Styela clava: one gene and its partners. The protein of the gene in region 1 interacts with the protein of each later gene in a biochemical or structural test. Links are inferred from orthologs where the notes say so. Each region holds a gene or a part of one and is shown in the gene's direction. Other genes may lie near its edges.

Region 1 (10,491 bases):
CGGCTAATCTAAATTGGAAAAGGAGTATTACAATATCATAATGTTAAATATTTCCTTTTATCTCACCGCATCTGCCTTACGCATTTTAAATCAAATTGTTTTATTTCATTTATCAAATATCACACATATTTGTGATTTCCTATCTTTATTTGAAATAAGCTGTTAATATTAGACAATTGTGCGCTAGGCTAACCGTTCTTTGTTACACACAGTTCTTTTGTATTCCGAATTTAGTCGCTGGTTGTTGGTTTGGTTGTCATCTACGATCTACTTTGACCAACCAATTCAACCACGAGTCACTTGATGGGATTTATTTTCACCTCACATTCCCTGAATTTTTGACAAATAGCACGAGGTATTTGTAAATTTTGGATTTCCACTCGCACTTCCAACACTTGTTTTGAACGATGAAGTACCTTCGATTGCCCTTCTGCTCTAGATTGTTTCCCGCCTAGTGGCATTATTCTTATCGTTTTCACGTAGATTATTGTTGCCAGAAGCGCATCGTGTTTTGCTTGACGGGGGACTTGAGAACGAGAATGTAATATAACCTTTGTGTAGCCACCTATTTTCACAAACCATTATAACCATTTTCAAAATATTTATGAAACTACATCTAGTATTAATAATAAGCAATGTCGTATATTTCATCTCTGAATATTGTCTTGTTTCCAAATTTGCGTTGAAAAAATTCCATGGATAACGATTCCGCGCCATAAATACATTTATATTTTTTATTTTATTTTTTTACCTTGCTTCAAATATATATCAACCGAAGCTGATGATATGTTGTTGTTTTAGTGAAAAGAATTTTGCTTGTCAATTGGCCTAATTCTTGCCAATATTTCCGATGTTTTAAATGTTGTAAGCATGAAATAGTTCCCATTCGTAAGTATGGGCTTGTTGACACACGCGGAAAGAGGCGCAAGTTTCTGCATTTGTCGAGAGTGCTATTGCCTATTACCGGTAATTGGCTCGGTTTTTGAAATAAATTATCCAATTCCATTGCTACACTTTCGATGTATCAGATCAATATGTATAAGCTAAGAAAAGTATCGTAATGTTTTGAATGTTGTGTCGTCGTCTCGTTTCATGAAATGAGTGTTACATGACGGTATCATGATATTATATGTGCACATTCAGTCAATAACTCCGGAAATCCGCACTCATGCCATGCTAACGATTTAGCGCGCATGCGCTCTTATGTCTTACTGTGTATTGGATGTTGAGTCAGTAAAGCGATGACGCCTATAATGGGAAGTTTTCCACCGAAATTATATGCTTTATTAGGCAAGCTTCAATTTAGGATTTAGGGTGTTAATTTGTTCAGAATGCTCAGGTTGATATAATTCATGAATCTACTGACGAAAGTGTAACCTTATATAGCATATATATGTGAAAATGTATTATTAGGGAGTAGTTTGATTGTGTATACAGCGTGGCGACCAAAAGAATTCGTAGTCTTATATATACAATCTCAATTTTAATATTGGTGTGTCGTCTGTCGCATAAGGTTGTGTTTATATTCTGGAAGATTCGTCAGCAAGTTAAATATTGGTTTATTGGCAATATCGCGATACACGTACATCTACAGTTTATTACATACCTTATTGCATTGAGCCTATCGCATAAACTGAAGTTTGTTCCACATTGTTTTTGAATCATAATCAATTTTAAGCCACTTTGGTTGCTGCAGCAATGCTCAATTTGATCAGATTGCAAAACACTGTTCACACTGCCAAGTAATTCTTGTTCTCGATTTGCTATATTTAGAAACTTCCAAGGCTCGTTTGCGAATTGTAGACCGCAGAGGCATACAGTAAAATTCAGGACGTACCTGTTTCATTATTTCGAACTATCGTTCGCGGAGTTTTACTAGTGTATAGAAAGTAGATATCATAGAAATCACGAGGGTCGAGAGCGGTGGTTCTCAAACGGTGGGACGTAGACAATTTTTTGAAAGGCGTGGGGCTAAATAAAAATAATTGTGAGATTTGATCTTGCCCGCCTATTTGTTTTTTAAACTTTTCATTTATTTATTATTCACGTTCCATCCCCATATTTTCAACGTGTTTTTGCATAAAACATACTTTCGCCTTATTATCTGTTACTTGTAGATTATTGTTAGCTAGTTATTTTTAAAGTGGGGCGCGAGACTTGACAAATTCTAAATTGGGGGCGCGGCCTAAAAAGTTTGAGAACCACTGGTTTAGAGGAAAAAACGCAAACCGACAGCGTATAGTAGTATTTTGCTGGTGGAATATGTCATTGTCATTAATCTATTGTTGTTCCATGACAAGCTACATGTTGCGACAAGTAGGAGAATATCGCCAAATAAAACATCACTTAGGAAGATTGTCAATTTGCACTGTCGTTCTGAATAAGTAAAGGAAACTGGTTAAATTTGTATTTGCCGACGATACAACACAACCAGTCAAAGAATGTTTGCTTAGTTCTTTAATTTCTCATGGAAAGTATTTATTTTATAGACATGTTGGAGCGTCCCGTTTTCCTTACTGTGTGTTTAGCCAACAATGCGACCGGTTTCGTTCAACTTTTAAGGGTTGCACTGGGAAGCCGAACTCGTATCCAGAAAATACATACATTTTGTACATGTGAGAGGAATGTGAAGAGCGTATGATCATTTATTACTAAGGGAAAACTCCAATTTCTTTAGCGTCTGCTTTATGTTATGGAAAATGAAAGAGTTAGTATAACATGGCCTGTATATATAAGGATGGAGGAAAGACCTAGCATTTAGCCGAATTGTCTTCCTATGTTGTCGAATACACGCTAGCGCTTAGATTTACTGATTTATGCTCAGCAAAGTGAAACTCTTTGCGTCATATTATAAAACCAACACCATTTATAAAAGGAACGTTTAAATTATATTTTAGCCAAATGATAGACTTGTGCAAATTTTCGATTAATGTTTACTTTGAAATTATCGGGATGAGATTGACTTATGGCAGGCATGACTTTTCTGCAAAGTAGAGTACAGCCAGTTGTATCGCTATACCGCTTGCGACCTCAAGAATGGTCGACCTGTCGGAATATGTCGAAGACATTTGATGGATATTTTGGCAATAGCTATTTGAAATTGGAACTGCAACTTCGAGTCAAACATTTATCAAAGCTGAGGGTTCGCCCAGTAAACGGTGCTTTCATATACAACACGGTAAACTGCTTCTGAGATGCTAATCGCCTTTCATACTCATTCGTCGATGAAGATTTCTTGTTGACGAAGCTTGTTTCTTCAAACGTAATATGTATAACATAAGAAACCCAGTTTTAAAGGTTCATTGAATTCTTATCAGAGTATATCCATCAACTGTCGATCATGCTAGATTTTGAATGAACCGCGTCTAATTTGATGAATATTTCGAATTGCCCGAACAGTATGTAGTTGTAATCGTTTTCGTTTGAGAAATCCGAGCGGAACATTGGTCAACCACGCTTGTGGAGTGTATCTTATCCGCAGGAGAGTATGCCTCTCTTATTGGTACATCATGGACATGGATCGCATATCGTTATTTACGTATTTGTGTAAGAACATGTATCAAAGGTCATTTAAGGTCTTTCCTCTTTACTTCTCGTCTTGTGTAGTCGTTTTATCAAAATGAAATCCCAAGAGCCGCCCACTTTAAAGAATTTCATGTTCTTTCGCCAAGTCCCTCGTGGAAATGTCAATTTATAACGAATGGTATTAAATAGAATACGGGATTAGAACGCGACTTGTACTTGGTGTGTATGATATATGAAGACGATAAATTTGTTGAAATTGAAAGTTCAATTATTGAACCGTTTTAGATAGACTGATCGTGACCGCAGCGCATGTGAAAAATGATTACTTCATTTAGTCGTCGATGGCCAATTTTCTGATCTGAATGGAAATCAAGTCTGTGCGACAAAATTAGTAGCATTTATAGAATAGCACAGTGTCAACTTAATATGAGAAAGCTTTTGCAAGTATAGTCAGTAAGTGTACTTACCGGTAACTGCGAATCTTAGTATAATATTGTTTCGAATTAATTCTCGTGCTTTATCAGTACTGACTAAAATTTATGGACGCTTGTACGTGACTTAATTAGATGTAGATACGAAATGAAATCATATGAGTCAACCAAGTTTCAGTTTTAGGAACGAGAATAATATGTCAAGAAGAACTTTTACTGACACGTCTGTGGCGTTAAATTTGTTGGATTTATAGACAGTCACGTAGTATGGAGTAATACAACTGGACTTAGAATATTCTTGGGTTGCTAGCTTCGAAATCAGTAACATCAGGCAACGGAATATCGTATCGCACATAACATTTTCATTTCAGAAAAAAGAACAATAAAAACGCTGACATTTCCAAATTGCAATTTTCATTGTTTGATTTTCTGACCTTATGAAAAGTGACAGAAATGGAATAGTGATGTCATACAGCCATAACGAAGACAATAAAATTCAGCGACATATAACTGGACATTTTGTTTTCTATTACAAAGCCGAGCGCAATTATTCCTATATTCAACAGGTATTATTATTTCACCAGCAGGTGTCAATGCAATTAGCGTTCGTTCAAAATTTTGTCCGAAGTCCAAAATTTAACAATTTTCAAGCATGGTTGCAATACTTATTTCTGTGAAGTCTTTGTTACAACTTACAGCCCTACACATTCGAGTGTGCCATCATCGCCCATCATTATTACATTTCAATTGGTTTTTGTTCATGTATTATTGACTGTAAATAAATCTGCTGTGTTGCTAATTTTATTTCCACAATAGATATAATGCTGCATTTAGGAAATTCGAATTGCGCTTGTTATTTTGGTAATGAAAAGTTTATTTCCGAATCTTCGGACTTGCGTCCCAGCTCAGGCTCTTATTGTAAAATATATTTCTGCTGTTATCACGTGAAGGTCTACCACACTATAGCGCGAGGTCTACCTTAAGCTGGTACTATAGCGTGAGGGGACTGTTAGGCTTAGGGTGTAACTCTTTCTGCAAAATTTTGTATTGCGCTCAATCGATGTTAATGAGGTCGAGATGGATGGAATGCGAGAGACTGCACCTGAATAGTCCGCGTATACCTCACGCCATAGTCTCGCATATCTGTTTTATAAGGAAAGTCCTTGGTTCTTATTTATAACCTGAATGTTATAGTTATAGGTTGATAAAATTTCTCCTCGATCGCAGTCGGTTTCTTTCATATCGTAGAGACGTAGAACATACGGCCGAATGTATCAGAGATAGATTCATACGTTAGAAGTAGGAAGAATGAAACAACGAGCCGGTCAAGCACTTGTTTGTGTTTGCTCTCTCTAATTATTTAGAGACCAAACAACAAATAGATCCGGTCTGTTTATTTTCCCCGCGGAAATAAACTTGTGAATTGAAGTCGGTCGGGTTCTCAGTAAAAGCGGATTTCCCAGCAAGACGTGCTTTGTATTTTGCATTTTCTCTTTGTTTGCACAAGACTAATTGGCAGATTATCAGCGTCTGTATTCCGACGCCATAAACGAGACACCAACTGAGAGTGGTAAGGAAGGATATTGTGGAGTAGAAAGGAATTTTACTGAAACATTTTTGTTTATGGAATAGAAATAATAAGGACGAATAACATTTATTTAGCTTACTTAATTTAGATAAGATGCATTAGCAAATTTTGGGGTAAAAAAAATCATAGTTTGTTTGCAGCTCTTTCTAGAGTAGTATATTGCAGGCACAGGGTAATTGGCGGTGTTATATTTTATATAGATTGAGTTTGACATAGAATTGGCAGAATGGTGGTATTTTTATCCTTGTTTCTTCTGACCTGTCACAATTTAGTCAAAGTAATCAATTCAAATGTGATACAAACATAACCAAGTTGATCAATCGATTAGTTTATACTATTTTTACCCTTCCAATAGTTCAATATGTTCTGAAGAATTAAACAATAATAAAGTTTAAAGTATTTTTCTTGTTTGTGATAAATAATTCAAGTTTGGCTTCACTCTCTTGAATTTCAACTTGTTTCATATATGTATTCAAATATATTTTACTTTGTTCGTTTTATTGTAAAAACAGTTCAAAATGAACCTGTTCCAAAGGTTGTAAAATTTAAATTGTAGTAAAGTAGATATTAACAAAGAACATAACAGACATAAAGTCTGCAAGCTTATTTTTGGGAGAACAAAAGATTTTTAAAAAATGACCTCAGAACATCCTGTACAAAATGGAATTAATGGTCATCACACACCTGCGCCACACCCCCATGCCCAACAAAGTTATCATCCTGGACCACGTAGTCGAAGCAGTAGTACAGCCAGTGATAAATCACAACAATTAACAAGGAAATTATCTTTCTCACTACGCGCTTCTGATTTTGGTAGGTATATACAAATGAACTCAGGAAGGACATTGTTATTAAAAGCTGTTAGTTTTTTCACACAAATCATTTCAACAATTTTTGTTTATACCATTAGTTTTTGTATTCTGTTAGTCAATGTTTATCATTATTCATTACATGAGTATGCTAATGTGAGGCACTTTATTATTAAGGTTTAAATTAATTTTTGTCACTTCCATGTGCGGAATAAGAATTTTCATTTTAGCTATCCTACTCATGATGACACTTCATGATATAACCAAAATTTGAAACTAGCCTATTGTTTGTTCACTATAACACCAATGAAGACCATGGAGCATGTTAAATTCAATGTTAGATGATTTTTCTGTGCTTTTTTTATTTAAAAGACAATGTCAATATGAGTTATAGCTTGATTATGTGTATGTTTCTGGTGAATTTATGGATTTTAGGATTTACATATTATCCCGGATGAGAGGAAAGATAATCCACCACAGGATTTGAACCTGTCAACCTACACAGAGTGATATGACTTGCGTTGGCAAGCATATTTCTAACACTTAGCGCGATGCGCCACACTGCCGAGCCTTAATATTTTAGAACTGTTGTTATTAATATTGTTTCTAATTCACGATTATTTAATATAACGGGTCGAGGTTATGACTGTGAGAATGTATTGTTAGTACATGAAAACAAAGAAACAATTTCAATAATTTCAAATTTTCACAGGCATCACCAAAGATGAACGTCTCACGGCTGAAGAAATGGACAGCCTGCGTAACCAGGCTACAGCATATGAATATTTGTGCCATTTGGAAGAAGCAAAAAGGTAATAAGACCTTGTATATTTGAAGTATCAAATACAGCTTCCAAAATATGTTTTCAAATTCCATATATTTGTACTCGTATATACTAATCCTAATCTATGCATATTTTGTATTAAAAGTATGGCTAATTGGCAATTTGCTCTGTATGATTTAGTCTTACTGATTAATAGTTGCTGTCATTTCAATATTCCAATTTTACCATTTTTCTTTTGTTTTCCAGATGGATAGAAGCTTGTATAAATGAGGAATTACCGCCTAGTGTCCAGTTGGAAGAAGGTCTCCAAAATGGTGTATTCCTTGCAAAACTTGCACATTTTTTCAATCCTAAAGTGGTTCCGATCCGAAAAGTGTACGACAAAGATCAGAAAAAATATGAGCAGAAAGGTCTCCATTTCAAACACACTGACAACATTAATCATTTCTTTAAAGCAATGGAAGAGACTGGATTACCAACGGTACGCTTTATTATGTCATTGAGTTGGTTAGTTAGGATAGGATTAATATATTTATCCCAGTGAATAGAAAAGCCGATATGAGGGCTTAGTCGTATGGCAAACCACAGCGTCTTGTCCTGTAACCAGTCCATGTCGGTTTTAAAATTAGTTAGTTTGAACATGATCAATGAATGCATAGTGTATATGTAAATCTGATATTCAGATTAAATGTAGGTGTGCAAAAAAAAGGTAGTGTTTTGATTATTGTATTTATTGATAATATTTAATGCTTGGGAAATTCAGATTGTGAGCTGAGTCTAATTCTTATTAATCTTAATTCAACAAATGTTATTTCAAAGTATTCAAACCATGCCACTATATAACTAACTTTTGTGCAATACACTGTCAGGTATCATCAAAGTTGTATAATGATATTCCACTTTAGTAAGAACTGTTTCAAACCTCCACAATAAAAGATTTGTCCCTTCCATACTCTGGAGATCTTTACTTTTAAACGCCCTTGTTTGAACCAACAGCATGTAACAGCGTAAATTCCAGGTTTTCAATACAATAAAACGATTGTGTAACCACACCATTGTGTGGTAAATTGGCCTTTTACCCAAAATGCGTTGGGCCTTTTTAATGTCATCTAGGTTGCTAATATTGTTATATCAATTCGCTTGTGGCGAAAATTGCTAGGCCCACTGACGCTAATAATTCTAATATTAGATTTGTCTGACGATGGCGACATTTTTATTATACGCTTTGTCATATTATATTTTTATTCTTCACTGTGTTGCCATCAGATAACTAACATTATAAGCCTACTTCCTTTTTTGGTCAAATAATATAAGTTTATAGTATGAATGATGTAATCGGCGCTTTATTGGCTCCATGCAAGGGCGTTTTTCTTTAGCATCGATCATGCTTCCAGTCATTTCCTGTTTCAGCCATTGAACCACAAATCTTTGTCATTCTGTTCTGTTTGCCAATGGTTTAGCCTGTGGCCTTTCTACACTTTGATTTATATTGATTTCATATTAATAAATGATAAATAAAAAATTGATCATGATATGTGTCAAGCTAAAACGTTTCTTAATAAGACATTTGAAGTTCATGAATATCTTTGTAGATTGATATTCAGAATTTGGCCCATCAGTTCAAATACTCATTTATAATAAAGAAGATTGAATTCTGATAGAATTCTGCTGTTAGACACATGTATAAAAACTGATTGCAAAATTGTATTTTTGTAGATTTGCTTTTTTGAATACATTTGATTGATGCTCAATGATGCAATATATTCCGAATAGCCTAATTGAAATCTACGTTCCGATAGTTTTGATTGGTTTTCTTTTTTGTCAGTGTCAAAAGTTACACAAAGTTTATTTTTGTTGTGACCATTAGATGTTGAATGCTTATGAATGTCAAGTGCATGGATTATTCAATTTTTTTAAAAATAAGTAATTTGCTAGTTAAAATATAGCTAATTGATAACTTGGGTTTTCTTTTTCAGATTTTCTACCCTGAAACAACGGATATCTACGACCGTAAGAACATGCCGAAAACTATTTACTGTGTTCATGCTCTGAGTTTATTTCTTTTCCGCCTTGGAATCGCTCCCCAGATTCAGGACTTGTATGGAAAAGTGGAATTCACAGGTTTGTGATCTTTTTATTTCACAACCTTTTTCAGACTTAGATGGCTATCTAAAACTGAAAAATATCATTGATTAAAGTTTGTAACATATACAGTAGTCTGGGATATGTAGTATCATACCAGAGATGGCCAAAACCGAATATTTCACTATTTCGAATACACATCGAATATATTCCAAATTGGAGGCAAGTACATGTGGAAAATTATATAAATCTGTATATCTTCATGTTGATCATTCTGAAGCGACATATTTATAAAAGTCACTGCTAATTGTTTGTTATCAGTTGAGATATCATATGTTTTGATATGCTTGTTTTACAGCTCGGAATCCCAAATTTTCAAATAAAAACATTCTAAATTATTCCTGAATTCCAAAATTTTCGATATAGAATATTCAAATATAATGAATTTTGAATGTGTTTGAATATTCGATTCGTTTGAACATTCCTATTATCCTCTCCACTTCAGTTATAAATATTTTACAAAAGGGAACGAGGTTGAATACATTTCAATTGTGAATTCCATCTCATAAAACCCCTACATCTTAGACTTGCTATAATGTCTAACACTGACTCAGGAGTAAAATTAAACACATCTCTGATCGAAGTAAAAGGCTGAAATGCGCAATAAAACAATAAAATAGCACAATAGCAATAAAATTGATAATTATAATGGTACGTTACACATTAGCAAATGCCAATTCAAATGCAACCTGAAGCAATACAATCAGTGAGTCAATAATAATATGATAAAACATAAAATAGCCATGAAGTAATGAATTCCACATTCCTTTTTGAATCTTCATCTGGGCTGACAGTAAACAAATGACGCCTCACAGATTACTGAGCACCATAGCTGAAAACTCTTCCAAGTTCAGGTCATTCATATAAAAGTTGTAAACATTTGTTTCAACAAACCGATTTGAAGTTACTACCTGCTTAATTTACAGAGGAAGAGATCAGCAACATGCAGAAAGAACTTGATAAATACGGAATCCAGATGCCTCAGTTCCATAAAATTGGTGGAATCCTTGCTAACGAAATGTCAGTTGATGAAGCTGCCTGTAAGTTGATATCATTATATTATAGTTAGTTTACCCAAATTTTTCAAAGTAGTTGATGCATCAGATTCTGTTTTGATTAGATTATTTGTATTGGCTCTTCTTCTACAAGTTGTATTGGATGTCTCTGCATTTACTATTATACAAAGTTATACATGGGATAGTTTTTATGAAA
Region 2 (11,231 bases), on another chromosome or scaffold:
ATTATGAATTGCGCAATACGGCATATCACGATTCAGACCTTTACCCTTGGAACTTATGTTGTCATTAATATATCCATGCATATTAAGAATGGTTTTATGTTTTCTGCAGGTCATCAACCAATTGTCCCCCATTGAAAAGAAACTACGCCCTGAAATAGATGAACTCTTGAAAGAAAACCTTAATAATAACCTTGGAGACGATTCGCTTAAAAATGGCGAAGAGTTAGCGTCTAGTTCTGAAGCATCTGATTTTGAGAAAATTGATGAAGTGGTAGAATTTAAAAAACAACGTAAAAGAAAGTCGAACCCCAAGGTTTGTTGTCTACTTATTTTAACATTTGTTAGGTATATACACAAAATGGGTCAGATTGGTCAGCAAAATTTACCCATGAAATTCATGTTGTTTTATTACTGGATGATCTCTCTTCGTGTCGTGAAATTAATAATAACTCATTCCATTATTTTGTTCATTCTGGTATATATGCATCATATTTTTCAGGAAAATACTGATGAATGTGATGTGCAAGAATTTTCCAAATCAATGTTAGAAAAACTGGAAGAATCAAATGATTCTGATGATAGGTAAGTGGCGCTTTAGAAGTATGTGTACCATTATTGAGGTAACTAATTTTTAATCAAGTTGTGTAAAGGGACTGAAACCTATGGGCAGGGGCTAACACAGACAGTCCCCGAACTCGTAATAGAACTAATATAAGGGAAATCGAAATATTATTAGGCCTAACCCTAAGCTGGTACACACACTACGGGAGTACCAGGTATGTAATATATATGCGTTTAGCATTGATGAACTGCTTTAAATTCTACAGTAACATTGTGAATAAAAATAGTCCGGTGACCAATGGAACCTAAATATTTGAAACTCAATAGGGATCACCAGCCGGAACTAGAATTCTGTGTTTTTTAAAACATACACTTGAAAAATACATTATGTTGTTATCGGCCAATTCCTTCAATTATAAATGATATGTTATGAAGCATATTGTGAATTTTTAATTTTAATGTTGAGCATTAGAGGTCACTCAATACTACTATTTTTAGTTTCTTCATCTGTTAAAGTTTTACATTTTACAGAGAAAATTCTGATTTAACTGAAGATTATGTTAGTTTCTTCAGGCATGCAACGAGCAATTCTTCATTGCAGTTCTTATTACATTTTATAGAGAAAATTTTTATTTATTTGAAGGTTATATTAGTTTCCTTAGGCATGCCACTGAAATATACTTTATTGCGCTGCAATTCTAATTAATATTTATTTTTTCACAGAATTGCTGACAATGATGACGATGAAACAAATGGTCGAAGGGCAATAAATTATGAGGTAAAACATTTTGTATTCTTCAACAAAGACAATGATCTACTCCATATTGATTTATCACAATTTTAGTTAAGCCTGATCAATAATTTATGTGATTCATTTTACCAAGTCATCTTTATTATTTTGTTTTTGACTTTGCACCCTCCAATGGCTGTGATTTGTTTTCACGAGCGAGTTATGTTATTTTCAAATTGGTCAATCATTGTCATTTCTCATTTTTACAACTTTTTTCGTCAACAGATTGCCAAGAACAAAGGACTTCGTCAGAAAAGGCGGAAGATTGATCGTAATCCTCGTGTCAAAATGAGACAAAAATACAGGAAAGCAAAGATACGAAGAAGAGGACAAGTTCGTGAATATAGGCCTGAGATAAAGAAATATTCTGGAGAAGCTTCAGGAATAAGAATAGGTTTGAGGAAGAGTACAACTCTGCAGTAAGACTAAACTGTGGCCAATTTATGGAATCTCCATAATAGCTTTCTCAAACGAATGATGAAGTGATGTGAGTTGATTGTGTTAGTGGCGATTCCTGGCAGAAGCATTACAGGAGTGTGGAGTGGATCATATTGACTTTGAGAGTTATTACTGGATTTATCTGCGTGCTCTGTTTTTCTTTTTGTTGCCAAAATCTGGTATGCAATCTCAAGAATGTTAAACTTTTTCTATGGTGATTAGTGGGGAAGTCTTTATAATATGGTACAGATAGGAGTTGTAAAAACCAGTGACCGAATGTCGATAATGTGAACATTGTAAGTTTTCTAAGTTCTCTGAGTGCAGTGATTTGATTTTTACAAACTGGACAAATACAGATCAATCATTTAATTTTTGTTCCTTCTGACATTAGGCAACACATGAGGAGTAAATCCATTGCACATGTTGCACAACTGTGTCTGTACCATGTCCATGTGAATGTGCTGCTAATTTTGGGCAAACAAACTTATAGAGATACCTCGAAGGCAATCATATCGAGGGATATGGTTAAAATATGTCCCGATGAATGAATTGTTTGAAATATGATACAGTTTTAGTATAATATCACAAGTGAGAAACTAATCTGTTTCTGTTGTTTGGTCAAACCACCCTCGCTGTCGTCTTTCATTTAAAATAAAAACTTTAAGATCTCTATTTGGTCAAATCTGTTTTTTATGTGGTGCAAATTATCACAGATCAAATATTCATAATCGCCTAATATAAAATAAAGGCCAGTTTAAAATTCTTTGGGTGGAAGAAAAAAGGTGATATAGTCCTTCCAACACATTCGATGAAAATCCAGCTCGATTTGTACATCACCTAGAGATGCTAAACTTGGACTCACCGTGTTGATATGTAATTGCTGACGGGAAACGGCTCCCGGAAATACATGGACCGAAGGCCTGAGCTTGGCAAATTTTTATTACATATTTATAAGCTTTGATATTGCATTATTCTAAAGAATCTCAAGTTCTAGATTACTCTCAGCATAATATGACTCAAACAAAATCAAATGAAAGTTATTATGCGTTCTCCAACTCCAAGCATACCTAAAATGGCTTCTAATGCAGCAATTGCTGTAGTATCATCAAAGTCAATAGAATAATGACGCAATAAACGTCACTCATTATTCCCTAACTAAAGGATTTCTCAAGCTAAGCGCGATATTTTATCCAACCTAATAAGATAAAAAATTAAGATATTAAAATAAGCCTCGAGTTAAAGCAAAGTTATGCCTTTTGGGACGGAATTATTTCATAATTTTGCATCAGGTTGGGAGTTATTTTTTTGAAAATTTCACCAAAGTAAAATACCGGGACATTTTGCTATCCGGGACGGGACAGACGTTTAAACCGGGACTGTCCCGGCCAATCCGGGACGTCTGGTAGGTCTACTTATAGATAATAGCATTCTTGTACAGGACCTTGTTCATTCAGTAGTTTATTATTCACTAAAATGAACATACACTTAATGCAAACAAAAACTAGGAAAAAAAACATGAAAATGGCATTTCTCGGAGAAGGGTGACGCGAAAAAACAATGTTGGTTATCTAGCTGAGGCACTCGTGGTGATAAAAGTCTTAACTTTGATACAGGTAGAATAGAAAGACGAAGTCCAATTACGGAAATGTTTGGTCATTTAAATATTTATGTGCGTTTGTTGTTCTAGTGAGCTTCTGCTTGAATTCGAATTACCGATTAGTCATTGTCACGGAAATAAACGAGGGAACTAGCTTCCATGAAACAGCCGTATTTGTCATTGGTAATTTGTTGCTTAATGTCGGGATTTCCCTTTTGTGTCATTTCCATACAATTAATAATTTGAACAATCTATCCAAAGTAGTCCAGTCGATGAGTGCTACGTTAATGAATAAGCTATGAGTTTTGATGTTGTTGGCAATGAAAAAGCGTGACGACAATGAACATTTTCAAGTATCAATTACTGAAACGTTTTTGTCATAGACAGACTTGTTCAATTGACAATCTCCGTGTTTGACAAGTCTATGACGTAATGCATGTTTTGACTTCCTGAGAAATTGTCGATAACGCTGTCTGCATTCATTTTTTCTTTTTGCAATATTAAAACTTTGCACTGCCCGGGAATCGAACCCGGGTCGCAAGAATGGGAATCTTGCATGATACCACTACACCAGCAGTGCGAGGCCGAAACGGAGGTTTTACATCCGGCTCTTAAACATCGTACGAGAGAAATAAAAAAAAAAAACTACAGTTTGCAATATTATGCGAACGATGGCTTGGAACACATAAGCTTGCTGATAAAATCGATAAATGAAGCGATGGGCGGCCAATTAGGTTGTGTGATTTGTTACCCAACTTGACATAATAGAGACTTCGGTGAAGTCGCAGTTAAATTAAATGGTTTATGTTATCAATGCCTGTTTAACACGGCAAGTGGTGTATTCACAATAAAAATAATAGTCGATGTAATTGTACAAATTTATTGTATAATCTCATCAATTATCCATAACGTGTTGTGACATAATACGTCAATAAACGTACACAACCGTACGCTGATGTAGCCAAGCGCTGACATCATGCAAGCCAAATCACGACCAAGAGAGCTACGTAACGAAACCATTTCTGACAGGTTCATTCACGGCGACGCCGGTATTTATACTGCCCCTGATAAAGCGTCAGTCAGACCCGGAACGCCTCGCCCGCCCATTGATGAAAGAGAAAGAAAGATAGAAAGAAAGAGAAACGACGCAGCAACTATTCTCACTCTTTTGTTAGCTTCCTCAATTGGCTTTTATCTTTATGTTGATACGTTTCGCTCTTCGGACCTGCTGTGCTTGGCGATACCACCATTACGTTTTTTAGTATTACACCCATTGATAATTATTTCTTAGTTACGATGTTTCAAACAATAGTATTGTCGGATTTCGAATTTTGACGTAGTCCAGGTATTCCGCTATATTACTCGAACAGCGTCGTCACATAGGTAGGCACAAGGTAGCTGAAAGTAACACACATTTTATCACTCAAGGAAGGAATTAGGCCGGAAGTTAATTAGGTTAATAATCAAAAGAAAAGGGTCGAAAGAATATGTGATGAACAGAGATATGTTGAACGTTGAATGAAATGAGGATAATCAATAATTACAAAAAATTGTTCAGTGTGATGCCACTCTAAACTTTTGTGTGAAACTGTGATGCCACATTCAGACATTATATCAGTATATTCAAATATTGTACTGTCATAGGCCTATGTCAGATTGGGTAATGGTAACTATTCATGTTCAAATTAAAGACATAGTGTAATAGAGGCTGTGTGTTTAGCTGGGTATACAGTTCTGCAGTTACACGGTTTTACATTCAGTTTCTTAGGTCAGTAAGTAGACTGGCGATTCCTACTTTTCAAGATTCATGGATATGAGTGACATAAAGAACACGCACTCAGATCTTATTTTTGACATATGTCCAAATGTCAATTGTGTTCAAATTTTTGTCTTTAAGTATAAGTATAAGTTTATTTCGACTCCATAATCAGCAATAGACGATAAAAAAAATAGATAAAAACAAAAGTAAAAGTAACTGATTATAGAATCGGGAAAGCGAACAAAACCTAGAGTAAGGTTTGAAACGTACAGATTTTAGATGGAAAGGTATTGATAAAAGAAGTAGTACGTGTTCGCTCACCCAAAAGTAAAAAAAAACTAATGAAGGCACGCACGCACACACACACACACAATCATCGAGACATGATACTGTCGGAAGCGAAAAAAGCGAGACTTAAAAGTAAAAAGGAAGGAAAATATACAAACAAATTAAAAAAATAAAAAATGAATAAATTCTTTTGCCACGCCAAATTGTAAGTAATACCCATAAGTAATACCCATAGCATAAATCCTCAGCGACAAGCATTATTTTCTTTGATCAGATGATGGTAGACAAAAGTAACTGTCATAAGCTAGTGGGAAATTTTTATGTTATTACACCCCAATAGCTGTTATTGATTACATGTTTATTACAAATTTAACAATCGCCATAAAATCAATGCTTGAATACAATCATGATTTGTTTATTACTGTCACAAATTAGAACCATGGCAATAAAACCTCATAAAATGTTATTACTTTGAACTGTATTGTTTGTGAATACTGCTTTCAATATATATGACTTGGACTTTCAAATATGCTTCTTTGAATCAGCGCATTTTTACAGATTCAGTGGCAAAAACTCGATAAAAAAATCTTGTTTAGTCATCTACGATATTCCAAAAAAAGCATTGACGTTTCTTAAGCATGTAAGGTGCCATGATTAGAACCTAGGTCCTAGATAATAAGTGTTGCTGCTTGTTAACCAGCTTTGGTTCCCTGTGATTTTCCCATCCCACCCCACTGTAATTATCATTTTCTCATGATTTGTGTACAATTGATTTTCATTTTATTGTTTAAGAAAAGTAAACTTGTTTTGACTTACCGTATTACTAAAATATACATATTTCTGGCAAAAAGAGCCAACTGGAACTTAGGACCTAAGTCTTACATAACCAGCCAGTGATATTGAAATTGTATACTCTTAAAATTAGTTGAAGTGTGTATTCAATATTGTAAATTTTTATAATACACTGTTTTTAATACATATTGCAATTTGCAACAAAATTAGCACTTGTCCAGCTAATCAAGCCATATATATATAATTATTTTTTACTTCACTGCATGCAAATTTGAAAACCAAGCAAAACAGTGTAGTTCCAGATATTACTGAATTTCAAAATCAGTTTCCATGGCTATTGACAAATATGTTTTCAAATTCATATTTATAAAGATGTCTCGATTCAGGCTATGTTTCAGAATCATAAATACTTATTTAAATGTTTCGCAAAAGTATATAGGTACGTTTCGCACATCTGTCTTTCTGCCTGACTGCTGACACTAGTTGACCCAGTGATTTCTGGACTACCAATACCCTGAGTCATCTCATGTGGGGGGATGAATCATCTCTCAAGCTGGCACATAGTCTTTCATATGATGTCTTATATTACTGTCTGAACTAACACTATAACAATAGGAATCAGAAATAAATAGATACTATTAACTATTGATAGTCAAAAATGGAAAATTTTGTAGATGATATTGTTTTACTGAAGTACTTTTAAAATCAGGACTTTACTGGTTGGAGTATATTTTAGTTTTATTTTTCCTCGACCTAACATGTCATGAAACTTAAATTTATTGATTTAGATCAGTGATTCTCAAACTTTTTAAGCCGCGCCCCTTTTTAGAATTTGTCAAGTCTTGCGCCCCTCAAAAGTAGCTACGGTAACTAACAATAAGCTACAAATAACAGATAGTAAGACGAAAGTATGTTTTATTCAAAAACATGTTGAAAATATGTGGTTGGCACGTGAATATCTGAAATAATGCGGGCAAAATCAAATCTACTGAACCACTGATTTAGGTTGTTCTCATGCTTATTAGGGGATGAAAAAAATCCAAAAAGAATGGTAACCATATACAGGTGTCGGGTTCAGACTCGTGGAAACTAAAGTAATGTGCAGCTATGCTTGGCCCGTAAAGTCTAACCAGAGGTTACACAATCTATAGTAAATTGAATTAACAACCCATAAGTTCAATCTATCTAACTAATATTTTTGTTTTCTTCCATAGAGTTAATTGAATAAAATAAATATGCAAACCATCAAATGCGTTGTTGTGGGAGATGGAGCTGTTGGTAAAACCTGTTTGCTTATTTCATACACAACAAATAAATTTCCATCAGAATATGTGCCAACGGTATGCTATTCTCTGTTTTGATGCATGCGAATCATTATCTATTTTCTTTTCAGGTATTGACTAAAATAACTGGGAGCTCATGCAAGTAAACAATGGGGTTGTCAACATATTCTAATCCTTAAAACAAGTGCCTACATGGCATATTTTTATTCCAGACAACGAAATTTCTGTCGTTTTATGGCTCTCTTGGTACAGCATAAAAATATCATGGATGTACAATAAGCCTTTATTTGCAGTTTGTTTCATAATTGTATATTTAGTGTTTGTAACATAATATTCAAAGAATTTGGTATAAACGAGAATAGTGCTTTCAAAAAAAAAAAAACTTAAGTGATGTATTCAATGACCCATTGTGATTATTACTGGTAGGGCGCATGATGGACCGGGCTATTTATAGTTAAAACTATATATATTCAGCACGCTACGTAAATTTGCATGTAAATTGGCAACCGCAGTGGCTTGCTTTCTAACTATTCAGATTTGCCATCATTATTCAATGATATTATATATGAATAACACATTTGAATTAAATATTATTGGAAAAATTGATGCTTTGAAAGTTCAGGGAAAATAATTTGCAATTGTGTACCAAAAAGTAGGACACGTTTCTCCGATTCCAAGATATCCAGAAATTTGGTCCAATAAAATAAAACACTCAATTTGACTCTGAAACGTGCGTCTCTAATATGTGTCCACCGTCATGTGACCAAAATTTCCTTTTTTTTCCAAAAACCCCGAATGCTACAGGGAAATTTTTTTCTGTGGGTAAATCTGACTTTATTTTTGAGGAATCCAATAGTGAAGTTTTTAAATTGCGCTTTCTTTTAGCTTGTTGCGCAGCGCCGGTATGCCCATTTTTACCTTTATGGCAACCCAGACTCCTTTAGGAAATGGGGGCTATTCTTGGAATCTGAGAACTATGTCGTAGATTGGTAAATATCTACATAGAGACAAAATATTTAAATATAATCTGTTTTTTTAGGTCTTTGATAATTATGCCGTCACTGTAATGATTGGTGGAGAACCATATACATTGGGATTATTTGATACAGCAGGTGAAATATTTATTTGAGATGAGTAAAAACTCTCATTAAATAGACGGATAAGCATTCTGTCAATTAAACATTTGTTAATGACTAGTCGTTTTCTTTTACTGTTTTTCCGCCCACTGATGATTTTCTCACTAATTTAAATAAGTGAGTTGGGTGCCAATAATCTCAAATTATCATTCCCTCTGTAAATATGTTTACCTAGGCTTATCTAGTTTATCAACCGTGTCAAGCTCAGTTCTTGTCTGTTCTATACCTACCTAATCAATCTATGTACTCGGTGAGCGATGGAAAAATTGTTTGGCTGCCACACACTGAGCATCCCACTACATTCTTGTGAATGTGCCTCATTATCCACAGACCACAGCATAGTGAAAGTATTATCGACTAATAAAAATTGTCAGCCATTGTTAAATTAGTTATTCTCCTAACAAGCTAGCAAATTTTGACCAAAACAGATGCTGTTAATTTGGTACTCCCGTAGTAACAAATACTACGGGAGTCAATTGGCTAGTCCCCGAACTCGTAAAAAAACTAAAATAGGGAAAACTGGAATAAAATTATTGCCTAACCCTAACTTGGTCGGTACACATACTACGTTCCGGTGTTCGCCATCTCAGTTCACATATTGTGGAAGTAATGTTAATTTTACCCAGTTTTTAAATGTATTGAAGGACGGCTTACGAATATTATAAATATTTCATTATGTGTTGTAACACAATATTCTCTTTCACAGGTCAGGAAGATTATGACAGACTAAGGCCACTCAGTTACCCTCAAACTGATGTATTCTTGGTGTGCTTTTCAGTTGTTGCCCCATCCTCATTTGAAAATATTAAAGAAAAGGTATGTGTACTCCTGATCATACATAAAGACTAGATTTAAAGATCCAGCATTTTTTCAGTGCCCTTTTTTGTCAATTTGCAGAACTACGTACCAATAGTTAAATTTTGTCTATGCTTTTGTGCTGCTGTGGTTTGTTGATAATATGTGAGGATGTTTTAGAAAGTGAAGGTTACTGTTTTGTCTTGACTGAATTTGCTCTGATAAAATTATATACTTATATTGCACATTAGTAAATTATAAGTGGCAACGATATAAGCAAGTAAATTCCATCCCGGTAGCAACAGTTGATGTTTTTATTGGGCTAAGCAATTTGGAAACTCCTACAGACTTTTTAAATCATAGAAATAATCTAATTTTAACTTTTTATGTTCAATAGTGGGTTCCTGAAATAACACATCACTGTCCAAAAACACCATTCCTACTTGTCGGTACACAAGTTGACTTGCGCGACGATGTTGGAACAATCGAGAAATTATCCAAAAATAAGCAAAAACCCATCGCTCATGAAATGGGAGAAAAACTCGCTAGAGAATTAAAGGCTGTAAAATATGTTGAATGCTCTGCTTTAACACAGGTAAGAAACTATTAAGTCTTGGTACTACATAGCTTTAATTGATATCCCGTTATCACAAAATATAAAAATTGTGCTAATCAACATGCAGAAAGGCTTGAAAAATGTTTTCGATGAGGCTATCTTGGCTGCTTTGGAACCACCATCTGAAAAGAAGAAACGAGGAAATTGCGAATTGCTATAACAATCTTGTACGTAATTGTGGTATGAAGGTTGCCTGATCAATATTTCCGCATCCATTTCAGTTCTATCTACGTATTTGTGCATAAATTTATCCCTATTTTCTTGAATGATGATTATAGAGGACAGAAACTATATTTCTTTTCATGTTGTATTTCGTTTGAATGCTATTTTTATTTGCTTTGCATATGCTTACTTATCTCATTTTCTTGTGAAGATTTCCGATAATAGTATATTGAGCAATTTTGTATCTAATTTAATAATCAATAATTGTAATTTGATTTATCATAATAATCAAGCAAGTGGACCTATGATTTCTTGAAATCAGACTAGAATTTTCTTCAAACGCCATATTCCTTTTGTTCTACAGTCTCTCAATGAATTTGTTGGGAGCTATTACTCTCCAAATGATAAAAACCGATTCAAAAACACTGGGCGCTGTGTATTGCTTCTGCATGTGCATTAGCTCGCTTTTCTAAAACCGCTTTAGCCTGTGTATTTTTACATAGCATAGCACAGAATTATTTCATTTGATTCTCTAGGTAGCTCTAACTAAGATAGAATCTCGTCAATTGGAATGGTTGTATGCAACAAAGAATAATATTTTAAATCCTATTGTAATGCGATAATTGTCTATTCATTTCTTCTTTATTTAAGGAACTTTTTAATAAAAGTTGTCCTTCTGGTCATGATTTATGCTGATTGAAATTTGCTTGACAAGGGGGAAATTTGAGTTTGGTATCGATGAACCAATCAAAAACATTTAGCATGTAATTTTTTTGTTTTATTTTTCTCTGCATGTCCTGTAGGCGTATTTGCTTTTTTACTTAAAGAGTTGAGCAGTGGGTTAGAGCAGGGGTGGGCAAATCCTGGCCTGCTTGTGTCTGCTGAAATTAAGACTATAGTTTCTATGGATATGAATTTCCGCTGAAAAATTTATGAAAATAACGTCATGATGATAAACTTCGGAACAGCTTTTTTATATAAAAAGCCCAGCAACAAAGTCTATGGCCCAGATAA
Region 3 (11,144 bases), on another chromosome or scaffold:
TAAATTTCAAACATAAATTATATATATATACTAAAGCTGTAAATTTGACACTTGACAAACATACTAATGAATTAGGGGTCGAATCTTTTCCCTTTTGACATTTTTGGAAGACTCAAAAGGCCGCTTATAATGTGCGCGATTGCATTTTGTGTGTTTTTGAACCTCTAACATCTTTACACCGATGTTTATTCTCCCTAAATCGAAAATTTCCCTCGGCATATAGGTACATGTATTGTTACACAATGAAGCGTTAATTGTTTTTTTGTTCTCGTGGGGAACTATGAGTTCATTGTGGAAACATGTTTCCATATTATAGTCATCGGCGACGAAATGATAAAAATAATAATTAATAAAGAGGTAACTCTGCAACTCAAATTTCTTGATTAAAAAGCAGTATTCTAAAATATTAAAACTAAAACTTAAAATGAAAGATCACACGTTTGGTTTCAGCCTCAGCAGACTCAGATTGAAAACGCTTTTATAGACATTGTAAATCATAAAATTTGGTATTGTGTTGGGTTTTCATGGTAGTAACTGCAAAATCGAAACACAGTCAATTGTGCGCGCGATGTACCTTTTTTTTCATTCTGAAACTACCGACGGAGCCAAATGCAATAAAATAAATTTCAATTGTTCGTATTTTGCCCAGACATTGTGATTTTTTAAACGATATCTTGCTTAAAAATAATCTCAAGTGCGAAAGAACAAATCGAGTTTGACAAATCTCAAGATCGCAACGTGAATTTCCTCACGTATTTTATGTTATTTTAGAATAGTAAACTTTTATTTTAGTAATCCCAATAGTAATCTCGAATCAAACGTGAGTAACGATAAGCACAATTACATTATAACGAAGAGACACGTTAAATACTCGCATCAGTCATGGATTGAATATTTTACGCCACAGAAATCTCGTTATCCGTTTTTTTAATCGCGAAGAATGTTGCGCGGAACCACCTCCCTCCTAAGAATCCTGGCTGCGCTCCTGCTTATAAATAATGTCATTTTTGAATTCCGCCTCTTTGCCATATTTCGAGGCTATATTGTTGTCAGATTTTATCAAAGCTGTTATTGCTTCTTTGAACAGGTACAAAATTAGTCAGTAATTTGAAAAGTAATCGAGTAGCTCGCGGAGCCTCTGGGTTTCTCTCGCGGAGCCCTGGGGCTCCGTACGGAACATTTTTAGAACCTATGGTGTAGTGTATGCTGTGATGCTCTAATGGAGTCTATTGCCGCGCACGTCAAACAGTCATTCGGCAGTAGCGGAGCTTAACAGGGAAGATGGCCGATCATGGGAGGGTTGATCCAGCGGTCACCAAGAGGGTTTGCTTCGTGGCTCAACGCTACTGCATTGGATATTTCTTATCACATGTTTTCTTTATCAGACAATGTCGCAAACATACAAAAGAAAATCAACCGGTGGAAGTGATCTGGCATTAGTTGAAAGGGCGGCAGAAGCGGTTAAAAAGGGATGCAGTATTAGGGCCGCAGCGAGAACATTTGATGTGGACCAAATGACACTCAAGCGATACATCGATGAACAAAAACACGACCCGCTTGGTGTAAGCGGATACAAGAATTGCAAGCTCGAGAATATGATATTCAGTCCTGAAATAGAAGCTGAACTGGCTAGTCACATCGAAACACTTGCAGCAAACTTCCATGGCCTATCCAAAGATAAATGCCGATGTTTGGCGTACGAGTTTGCAGAAAGAAACGGTATTGATGTGCCAGAAAATTGGAAAATCAACAAAAAAGCTGGTCTATGGTTTCGGCTTGGATTGAAAGCCCGCAATAACCTTTCAATTCGAAGTCCAGAAGCTACTTCGTTAGCCAGAGCAACGGCGTTTAATAGTCATACAGCGGGGCAGTTTTTTCAAAAACCTTGCCAAAGTAATGGATCAACACAAATTTGAAGCACAAGACGTATATAACGTTGATGAAACAGGGTGCCATACGGTGCTAAAGCCTGAAAGCATTGTTACGGAAAGAGGGGTTAAGCAAATCGGTTCTGTTTCATCGGGTGAAAGAGGTGAGCCGGTAACCGTAGTCAATGCGATCACCGCTGCTGGTGGATTTCTTCCGCCCTACATGATATTTCCCCGTGTGAACTATCGTAATTGCTTCATACGAGGTGCACCACTGGGATCTGGCGGTGCCGCCACCAGATCAGGTTGGATTAACGAGGAAACGTTTGTCAACTATCTCTATCACTTCATTAAGCATACACGCTGTGTACCCGACCGAAAGGTATTGCTCATCTTAGACAATCACGAGTCCCACGTTTCACTAAAAGCTGTTGACAAGGCGAAGACGAGCAGAGTTGTGGTGTTGACCATTCCTACATACACGTCCCACAAACTCCAGCCTTTAGACAAGACTGTTTATGAACCATACAAAAGCGACTACGCGCGCGCGATGAATAATTGGATGAGGTCCAATCCGGGTAAGACTGTGTCTATACACGATATTGCTCATTTGGTGAACGAAGCTCCCATCTGCGCTTTTGTACTGCGTAATATCCTAGCTGGCTTTCACAGCACTGGAATTATGCCTTTCAACAGCGACGTATTCTTGGATGAAGAATATGCCTCATCTTCAGTTACAGAACGCGAGTTTGCTCGGCAGTAGACAATGTTGAAAATGCGTCAGGTTTACAGAGTAATCCTGATACTCCCACGTACCAAAAAGATAACACAATTCAATCAAGCTGGCGTTGAGACCAATATTGGCTTGACTGGAGCAGAGCAGACTAGCAACGCAGAGACTTTTTATGTGTTTCCAGGTGATAAAAATACTACCTTTACCCAATGCAGGACTAAGGAAGGTGAAAGCTTCCAATAGGAAAAAAAGGAAGCTCGGAAATTTTGACAGACACACCAGTTAGAAATGAAATAGCAGCAAATCAGTGGCTAGATTAGAATAAAATAGAGCAAAGAACTACGGTCGGGTTAAAAAATGCTCTTTGCAAACAAGGAAACAGTTAGAGTGAGGGTAGCACCATCCGGATGCACCACTTCGAGCTAAAGTGAATCTGACGGGAATGTATTGTGCGATGATACTGATGACACAGGAGAAGAAAATCAAAATATTATTGAAGGCGATTTTGTCATAGTCAAGATAAGTGGAAAATCTCGAATTGTTCAATACGTCGCAAGAGTTGATGCTTTTGAAGGAGTGTTTCTCCGCCTGGTTTTAAGCGTAAATGACGGAACTACCTTTATTCTGGATGTCGAAGATGAAGCACTTTGGTCGAAGAAAGACATCGCAAGAAAATTAGCCATCCCCAGCATTATTGGAACTTCACACGTCGTTCACGTTCTCATTGAGGATATATAACTAATTGTATAAAAAATGGCTCATCTCTCCCGCATCTCCCCTACTCTGCGTGGGTTCGCAGGTTCGAAGCCCATTCAGGGATAGTTATGTGCGAGAGGATTGCTGGACTCCTCGCTGCCGTAGGGTGGTTCACGTAACCGCGTACGGCTTCCCCGACCATCAATTCTATGCTTCCAGAAACAATTAACTAACTAATTCTATACCCGACATGAAATGGTAACCGGACGAGAGGCCGTGGTTCGCCATGTGGTTAAGCGTAAATATATACTACTACGGGTTAAGCCATATTATCGACTTTCCCTTCCCCGGGATAAATATGTAAATCCTAATCCTTGGTAGAGATGTATGTCGCACATCTGTGTCTTGGGCCAGTAAGGGTTTTAACATGTATCCCGTATTTTTTACGCTGTTTAATTGATATGCAGATACTGTTACATTTTGAGGCAAATAAACATACATACTTATTATTTGGGTATCTCAAATCCGGTTCAACGAACCGGTTCTCCTCTGTCTGATCCAATGACTCTCCCTTACTTTCGGCAGGTTTATCTGTTGGTTTACTGGTTTATTGTCCTCGCTTTCCCGACTGAGCTACCCGAATACTTTTGAGTTGATGCTTTGTACAGCTTTACAGGCTCTATGGAATTCTATCATTTCAGTTGAACCAATGGACTTTTGGAACAACGCCAGAGTACCGGTACGGTACCGCTACCGGAGCTGACACAGACACGTAAGTTAAATTCAAAGTTACCGGTACCGTACCCTGTACCGGTACTTGTTTGGCTGTACGGTACGGCGTTATCCTGTTATTCCTGTACGCTGGTACCATTCTGGTGTTGTGATATCATTTTTATGAAATTGCAGTACTGCAGTACGTATTTTAGTTCAGTTTTATTTTCACTTTATTCCTTCAGAACTTTGAGATACGATTGGTTACCGGTACCGTATCTTTTGTCTCAATGTTTATTTTACAGATTGGTAGTAGTCTAAATTCTGAAATTGTATACCGTAGCTTAGATGGTGTTTCTGTGTAGTTTTATCTATTTATTTCCCAGATAATAAATTATGGATTCAGAATAGTTTGTGATCATCAGAAAGGGCACAGTTCTCCAATTCTAAGATGTCCCGACATTTGGTTTAATGAAACAAACACACTATTTGTCTCTTAAACGAGGGCGTCTGGCCCGACGGCGGATGCGTCAGATTGTGCCATGCTTGTCTCAATAATAATCTAAATTAGTCGCAGTAGTCACAGGACCTGAAAACTTTCAAATGCTACGTTAAAAAAATTCTCCTCCATTGAATTGGATCCTTTTTTTATGAAGAATCTAATAATTTTAAATTGCGCTTCCTGTTAGTTTATTGCAAAAGGCTGGTTTGTCGATTTATGTCAATATGGTGGCCTAGATGGTCTTGTAAAGGAGTGGTTTTCACTCACTGTTATAATTGATGGAAGGAAGCTTCAGCATAAAAGCCGACAGCAAGCACAGAATAAAAGATAATTCATATTACAGTATTACTGACTGTGGGACTTTTCTTTGAAAAAATAACCCGATTTACCTAAGGAAAAAATTTTTTACCGTGGCATTTGAGAGTTTTTAAGAAAAAACACCAATTTTGATCACATGATGGCCACGGTTAATTAGATTATTATTGAGACAAGCATGGCGCAATATGACTCATCTGCCGTCGTGCCAGACGCCCCTCATTTGTGAGACACTTGGAGTGTTTGTTTTATTGAACTAAATGGAGGGAAACTCTTGGAATTTGGATAGTGTGCCAGACTGTACTGCTGTACAACGAACCGATTGTCCTCTGTTCGATCTTATAAGAGGGTAATGAGCTGAAACACAGCATATTGTTAGAGTACAAGCATAATATATCTTTGCACCTGCTTCTGAATGACATCTTTCAGCTTAAAGAAGCGGGGCTTTCTAACTCCATTTTTATCGCTATTCAAATATTATTTCATATTCTTTCATTTTCTTATCACTATAATTTACAAAGAACATGCGATTTTGAAGTGCTTGGTAACAACTGTTTAAAGTTGTATTGAATCTAATTAGTCTGTAATATATCATTAACTGTGTCCCCCCAAGGTGTGTCAAATTGTCGCAGCAGATAGATTTTTTATGGGCTCTGAAATGCCAGACTGTAAACGCTAGACTGTTGTGCAACTGCAAGTACACTATTCCAGTTGTTGACTTTGAGCGCGTGTGTAATGTTAACTCTTGGATGTGGCAAATTGATTTATTTGCACTGGGTAAGGGAAATGTCAGTCTATACATTGTGTGAAAATTGTGAGGGGAGCACTGCTAGTTCAAGAAGTTGCTCACAAACTTGGTAAATCAAAGAACAAACAATATTAAGCCATATGCCCTTTGTTTTATGCTTGTTAGCAGAAAATATAATATTGTCATTTTAGTTTATCGATGTTAGTATCACCAGTGTTAAAAAAATCACAGATTCAGTGGTGATTCACTGCTCAGTGCCATTGCCCAACTCATTGAATGACTCGCATTGTCATTTCAACGATTTCCCTTTTTCTACCCCAATTTATCTTATCATATAATTTGTAACAATTTTGTTTTTTTGAAGCAATCCTTTTGAATAAAAACATTACACTAGCATAAAACTATACGAGCATGTGTACCAGGAGCTCATAGATGACTATAAAACACTAATATAAACCTTGCTATGACAGATGAAATATTACTAAATTAACCAATCAACTGATTAATAATGAAAAGTTATGTTTGAATATTTGATGACATATCACTGAACAGCACACTAGTAAATGCTGTATGGTTGGATCTTCTAAAAGAATGTCAACCATGACTCAACCTCTCTTTTCATCAGAGGGGAGGAGATCAAGTGACATCAGGAAGATACAGGAAGATGTGAGTGCATTGTTTAATATAGATCTGAAATATGTAATCGAAATTCTGTGTTGTATTCTGAATCCCAAAATGTGGCAGTTTATTTTGTATTCATGAAGGTTTGTTACATATTTCATATCTGGCTAACAATAAAATTAAAAGCCTTGTTTATGTTTCAACTTATCTTTGTCATATTTGCTGTTGTTCAAGAATGATTTGTGCCTAATTATTTTCCTCTTGTATTTTTACATTATCCTCCACAGACTTAAAAAGTGCATTTTTAAAATTTCATAAAAATGCAAGTGACCAAAATGCAGACAATGTCATACCAATATCACTTTTTATTTTACAAAATAACTGTTTTTTAACTGAGTTTTTTTATATAATATCAATCAGAACAATTTTTCAGGAAACTATGAATTTTTGAATCCGAATTCTACCCAATTTTCACTGACAAGTCCACTGACAATACTGGTTCCTCAGATGCCAAGAAGTTCGCTAGCCGTCCTCTAACAATATTTTGAGTGTAATGACTAATGATTCATATAATGATATTTCAGCTTCAAAATTTGAATGAAGTAATCAGATTGACCAAAGATTCCATTATCCGACTGAATGATAAATTTGGTGGAAATACGAACCCTCCGCCTATTTATCTTGAAGTAAGTATTCTCATTGATCATTGGTTGTGTATCTTTATGGTGGTTAGGCAAGCTGTTCTCATATTTCAGGATTTATCAAAATATCTGGTTTTTTGAACGAAGACTATTCTCCTTTTTATTCTTTGTAACGGCTTGAAGTTCAAAAGCCTCAGCAAGTACAATGAAATTGGTTTTGCAATAGATTTATTGGAACAGCTATGCTGGCTTCATTGTGGTTTCTGAAACTAATTTTGAATAGAAACCATAACCTGGTATCCAATCCAAATATCCAATCCAATCCAATCAGGCATAAATGAAGTAGATCAATCCCTTAATTAAGCAATAACTTTTTTTTAAAAAGCCAAGTTGAATTAAATTCATATTATGGTGTTTTTCATCAGTGTTCGCACTGACTAACATTTGCAAATGATGCCTGCAAAGATGAGAATCTATTTAAGGCTACTTATTATCTCTATCTTGATTTGCTGGATTTCAACCATGCATTAATTATTGATATGCAATGTAATTTGCTGTAGATGAAGTGGTTTGATTAATATCATGCCTGGGGTGTAGATAAAATAACTTCTGCCAGATACATCTTTACAAAAATCAATCTTTGTTTTACATAAACTTAATCTTCTCCCTCCTTCCAGAGGGAGCAGAATTTGAATGTCTTTTATTATTCCCTGTTCTAAATTTATATTTGCTATCTCTGATCAACGAAGCCTTTGTGTCAATATTATTGTTTTTGCAACTTTTTTCACTATATAAACGCCATGCTTTAATTTGACCTGTTATACTAAATATATCATGTGAAAATAGTGCATTTTAGTTATCAATATCTTGCTCAGGATTGGATGCAAGTATATTACTTCCTACATAACCAAAAATCATTGATATCAATGAATTCTTGTGAAAAGCGCAAAATTTTCCATAGTTTTATTTTTATGCTCATTTACCAGTGAGGTATATTACTGAGTGTAACTACCGTGAATTTCTTTTCTTATTCCAGGAATATCGTGAGTTAACGGACAAACTCGGGGATCTTCAAACAAGGCACCATAATCTCACTGATGTTTTGGAACAACAATTATTACAAGGTAAACAATATTTCATATATTCAGATTTCGAGTTTGGAGCGAAGATAACTAAAGCCAATTTTTCAACTTTCCTGTATTCATTTCAGAGAAAATCTACACAATAAGTATACTGTCTGCTGCTATATGTTAATATTTTTGTTTCAATGTAATCCAGTTTCATGCATGGATGCTATTTTCTATTTTCATGTTGTATTTTCAGTCAATTATTAGCATAAGTTTATGATATTTTATTCGGCAATTCAATAGAATTAATGATTTATTGATATTTGATTCTAGAGCAGTGTAAAACTATTTTAATTGGAATGTAAATGTTTTACAGGATCACAAACTAACTCATTTTCACAAGAACCATCCGGGGTGCAAACACTACCGGGCAACAGAATATTTTTCCCACCTGGTCCACAGTACGTTGGCACTGGTAAGTCGTTAATTTTAAATAGACATTTTGGATATAAATTGGATCTCACTGTAATTCTAGAAACTTGTATTCTAGGGTGTATATATGCAGATATTTATTGTGACTCAATTACAATGACTCTAACGTAAAACGTTAGTACTCCCGTAGTGTGTGTACCAGGTTAGGGTTGGGCCATAATTTTATTCAGATTTTTCTTCTAGAAACTTGTAATCTAGGGTGTATATATGCAGATATTTATTGTGACTCAATTACAATGACTCTAACGTAAAACGTTAGTACTCCCGTAGTGTGTGTACCAGGTTAGGGTTGGGCCATAATTTTATTCAGATTTTTCTTTTTTAAGTTCTATTACAAGTTCCGGGACTGTCTGTGTTAGCCAAGTGAATATACCCCCTGCCCATCGGCTTCCATTCCTTTACCCAACTTTATGTAAAGTAGACAAACAAAATTAGTTACCTTCATATTGGTACACATACTTCTGAAGCGTCAACTTTGGCGAACCATGATATTTTAAATTTCATTTAGATAAATACGAAAGTTTGGATATGATGATTGAGTTGAACATAAATAAATTTGTTTCATTGTTAAAACTGTAAAACTAATATTATTACCTCCTATTTCTAGTTAATGGAAGGAATCACTACCCCCTTAGTGGTTTAGGAATTTTTTTCAATGAATTTCCCTGTTGAATGCTGTGCAGCTGTAATTTTATGTTTGCCCAAATTGTAACTAATATAAACCCTGTAAAGCCAAATGCAATGTAAATCCTGCTATTTCTGCAAGTGTTTTCTCATTATACTTTAATCTCCACCCTACAAAATATTTTTTGTCTTTGAATAGAACCAGCATATGATACATCAGATGGATCACATCACAATGGCACAAATAATCAACTTGGAAAAACTGTGGGAGTGATCAGGATATTTCTTCCTAATGGCAAGACAACGGTAATCATTATTCTTAGGCTATTCACTCACTCTGCTTGTGATCACAATAAATCTGCAGTCATTAACTTCAATAATCCAATTACTATTAAAAATGCTGAAAAGTGTTGTAAGTTCAATCACATAATCCAGCCCGCGTTTCAACAAAATCTTAAGAAAATTTGCACAAAAACAAAATTGCCGATTTATTTGAAATATTAAAGTTGAAATAAAGTGCAAATCAGGAATCTCGAAAATTTAACTCGTAATTATTAATTTACAAGAAAGACATTAGTACAAATTTGGCTGTATTAGATATATATAAATATATTGCTTGGAAAGTTAAAACTTATTGCTGAAACAATGAAATGGCCAATCTTAAGATGAACATGTTGGATTTTCGCAAACATACATTTTTCTCAAATTTTCAGTAGCCTATATCTCTGTATTGCTCACTTTTTTCTCCATCTACCCTAATGACTGTACCATCTTGGCAAGAATCTTTTCTGAACACTTTTATCAATATTAAAATATAGGTTGGAGCCGTTATTGGAAAATCATTGAAGTCCCAAGTTTTGCAGAAGACAGCAAGATTGAAAGATTTGAGAGATAAAGCAGATCAATGTAGTGTTTTTAAGTTTGGAACGAAGTGAGTCAGTCTTCTCACAATAACTTTTTCATATGTTCTCGCCATATGTTTTTAGTTTATCGATTGGGTTTCTACAAGACCAACTACTTTTCCGTTTTCTATGCTTTTGCGTCGGTGGATCCGTATGCATATAATGCAAGGATGCTGTAGCAAGAGTGAAGATAACTATCCTGAGTAATTCAATAAATAGTCTTGCTGCACACTAACACAAATATATTTCTATATTTGTGTTAGTGTGCAGCAAGACTATTTATTGAATTACTCAGGATGTTTTTAGTTTGTTTTTATTTACTATCACCTTCATTCATGCAGCCCAGTATTTGAATTAGAGCTATTGATTGATTAGTGGGTTACATGGTCGTAATTTTGCCTTAGTTGTATATCCATCAGTTAGACAATTTTTTGAGGGTGCATGAAGCTGATTAAGATCAAAAATATTTGTTAGATTTGATCTTGCTCATCTTATTTCGGATATCCACATGATATTTATTGTTTGGAGATTGCGAAGCACTGTTGTGCTTGTATCTTTATTATCCTTAGCATGGAGCCTTACTATCTGTTATATTTTTGCTTATTGTTAGCAGGTTATTTTTGAGGTGAGACGTGAGGCTTGACAATTTCTAAAGGAGGCGTGGCTTAAAAAGTTTGAACACCACTGCTGTAGAGCATAGGATATAAAAGGAAATAACCATAGAGTAGCTTTGAAATAAAACAAGTCAATTTATTTATAATAACTCAAACAAATCATTCATAAAGTGGAAAAAGATATCAATAAATATGTTTCCATACTAGAATAGCAAGCAATAGTTTCTGAGATGAACTCCTAAAATAACTGATACTGTATAATTATTGTTGGTATAGAATGATAATTAACAGCTTAGCTACAAATTTTTGAAATATTTCATTCTTTTATATTATGCCTGGTAGAAATATTCTAATGGAAAACTTTATTAAGTTGGATTAAATCATCTCACCTTCATTATGACAATTTGTATAGTTTCATAACCTAGTAGCACATCTATATATCAAATTTAGGCTGAGGAGTATTAAGTAGAAATATAGACGAATGATCTATTTTATTCAAGAAACACCTTTTTAATGTTTTCACTGATACACATTTGTCATACTATTAAACTTTATCGTTTCAAATTTTTACCGCATAGAGAAATTTTGGTTCCACTAATGAAAATTAATT

What was found.
Region 2: the proteins of ras GTPase-activating-like protein IQGAP1 (region 1) and cell division control protein 42 homolog form a complex in vitro, tested with the Homo sapiens proteins (6 studies listed by BioGRID and IntAct). The link is inferred for Styela clava from reciprocal best matches to the Homo sapiens genes IQGAP1 and CDC42.
Region 3: the proteins of ras GTPase-activating-like protein IQGAP1 (region 1) and RAF proto-oncogene serine/threonine-protein kinase-like form a complex in vitro, tested with the Homo sapiens proteins (2 studies listed by BioGRID and IntAct). The link is inferred for Styela clava from reciprocal best matches to the Homo sapiens genes IQGAP1 and BRAF.

Annotation. Positions count from the first base shown.
Region 1 is NC_135257.1:7,265,606-7,276,096, reverse strand, and holds the start of ras GTPase-activating-like protein IQGAP1, read left to right. Parts: upstream 1-6,050; 5' UTR 6,051-6,179; coding exon 6,180-6,357; intron 6,358-7,065; coding exon 7,066-7,165; intron 7,166-7,383; coding exon 7,384-7,618; intron 7,619-9,113; coding exon 9,114-9,258; intron 9,259-10,205; coding exon 10,206-10,319; intron 10,320-10,491. UniProt on the Homo sapiens protein: Plays a crucial role in regulating the dynamics and assembly of the actin cytoskeleton.
Region 2 is NC_135256.1:6,373,359-6,384,589, forward strand, and holds the start of cell division control protein 42 homolog, read left to right. Parts: upstream 1-7,439; 5' UTR 7,440-7,460; coding exon 7,461-7,565; intron 7,566-8,547; coding exon 8,548-8,620; intron 8,621-9,350; coding exon 9,351-9,460; intron 9,461-9,836; coding exon 9,837-10,034; intron 10,035-10,122; coding exon 10,123-10,215; 3' UTR 10,216-10,222; intron 10,223-11,231. Other genes in the region: something about silencing protein 10-like, read left to right, coding at 110-313, 500-582, 1,285-1,339, 1,577-1,774. UniProt on the Homo sapiens protein: Plasma membrane-associated small GTPase which cycles between an active GTP-bound and an inactive GDP-bound state. In active state binds to a variety of effector proteins to regulate cellular responses. Involved in epithelial cell polarization processes.
Region 3 is NC_135256.1:7,209,526-7,220,669, reverse strand, and holds the start of RAF proto-oncogene serine/threonine-protein kinase-like, read left to right. Parts: upstream 1-6,043; 5' UTR 6,044-6,143; coding exon 6,144-6,239; intron 6,240-6,778; coding exon 6,779-6,880; intron 6,881-7,871; coding exon 7,872-7,959; intron 7,960-8,278; coding exon 8,279-8,377; intron 8,378-9,217; coding exon 9,218-9,324; intron 9,325-9,836; coding exon 9,837-9,949; intron 9,950-11,144. UniProt on the Homo sapiens protein: Protein kinase involved in the transduction of mitogenic signals from the cell membrane to the nucleus. Phosphorylates MAP2K1, and thereby activates the MAP kinase signal transduction pathway. Phosphorylates PFKFB2.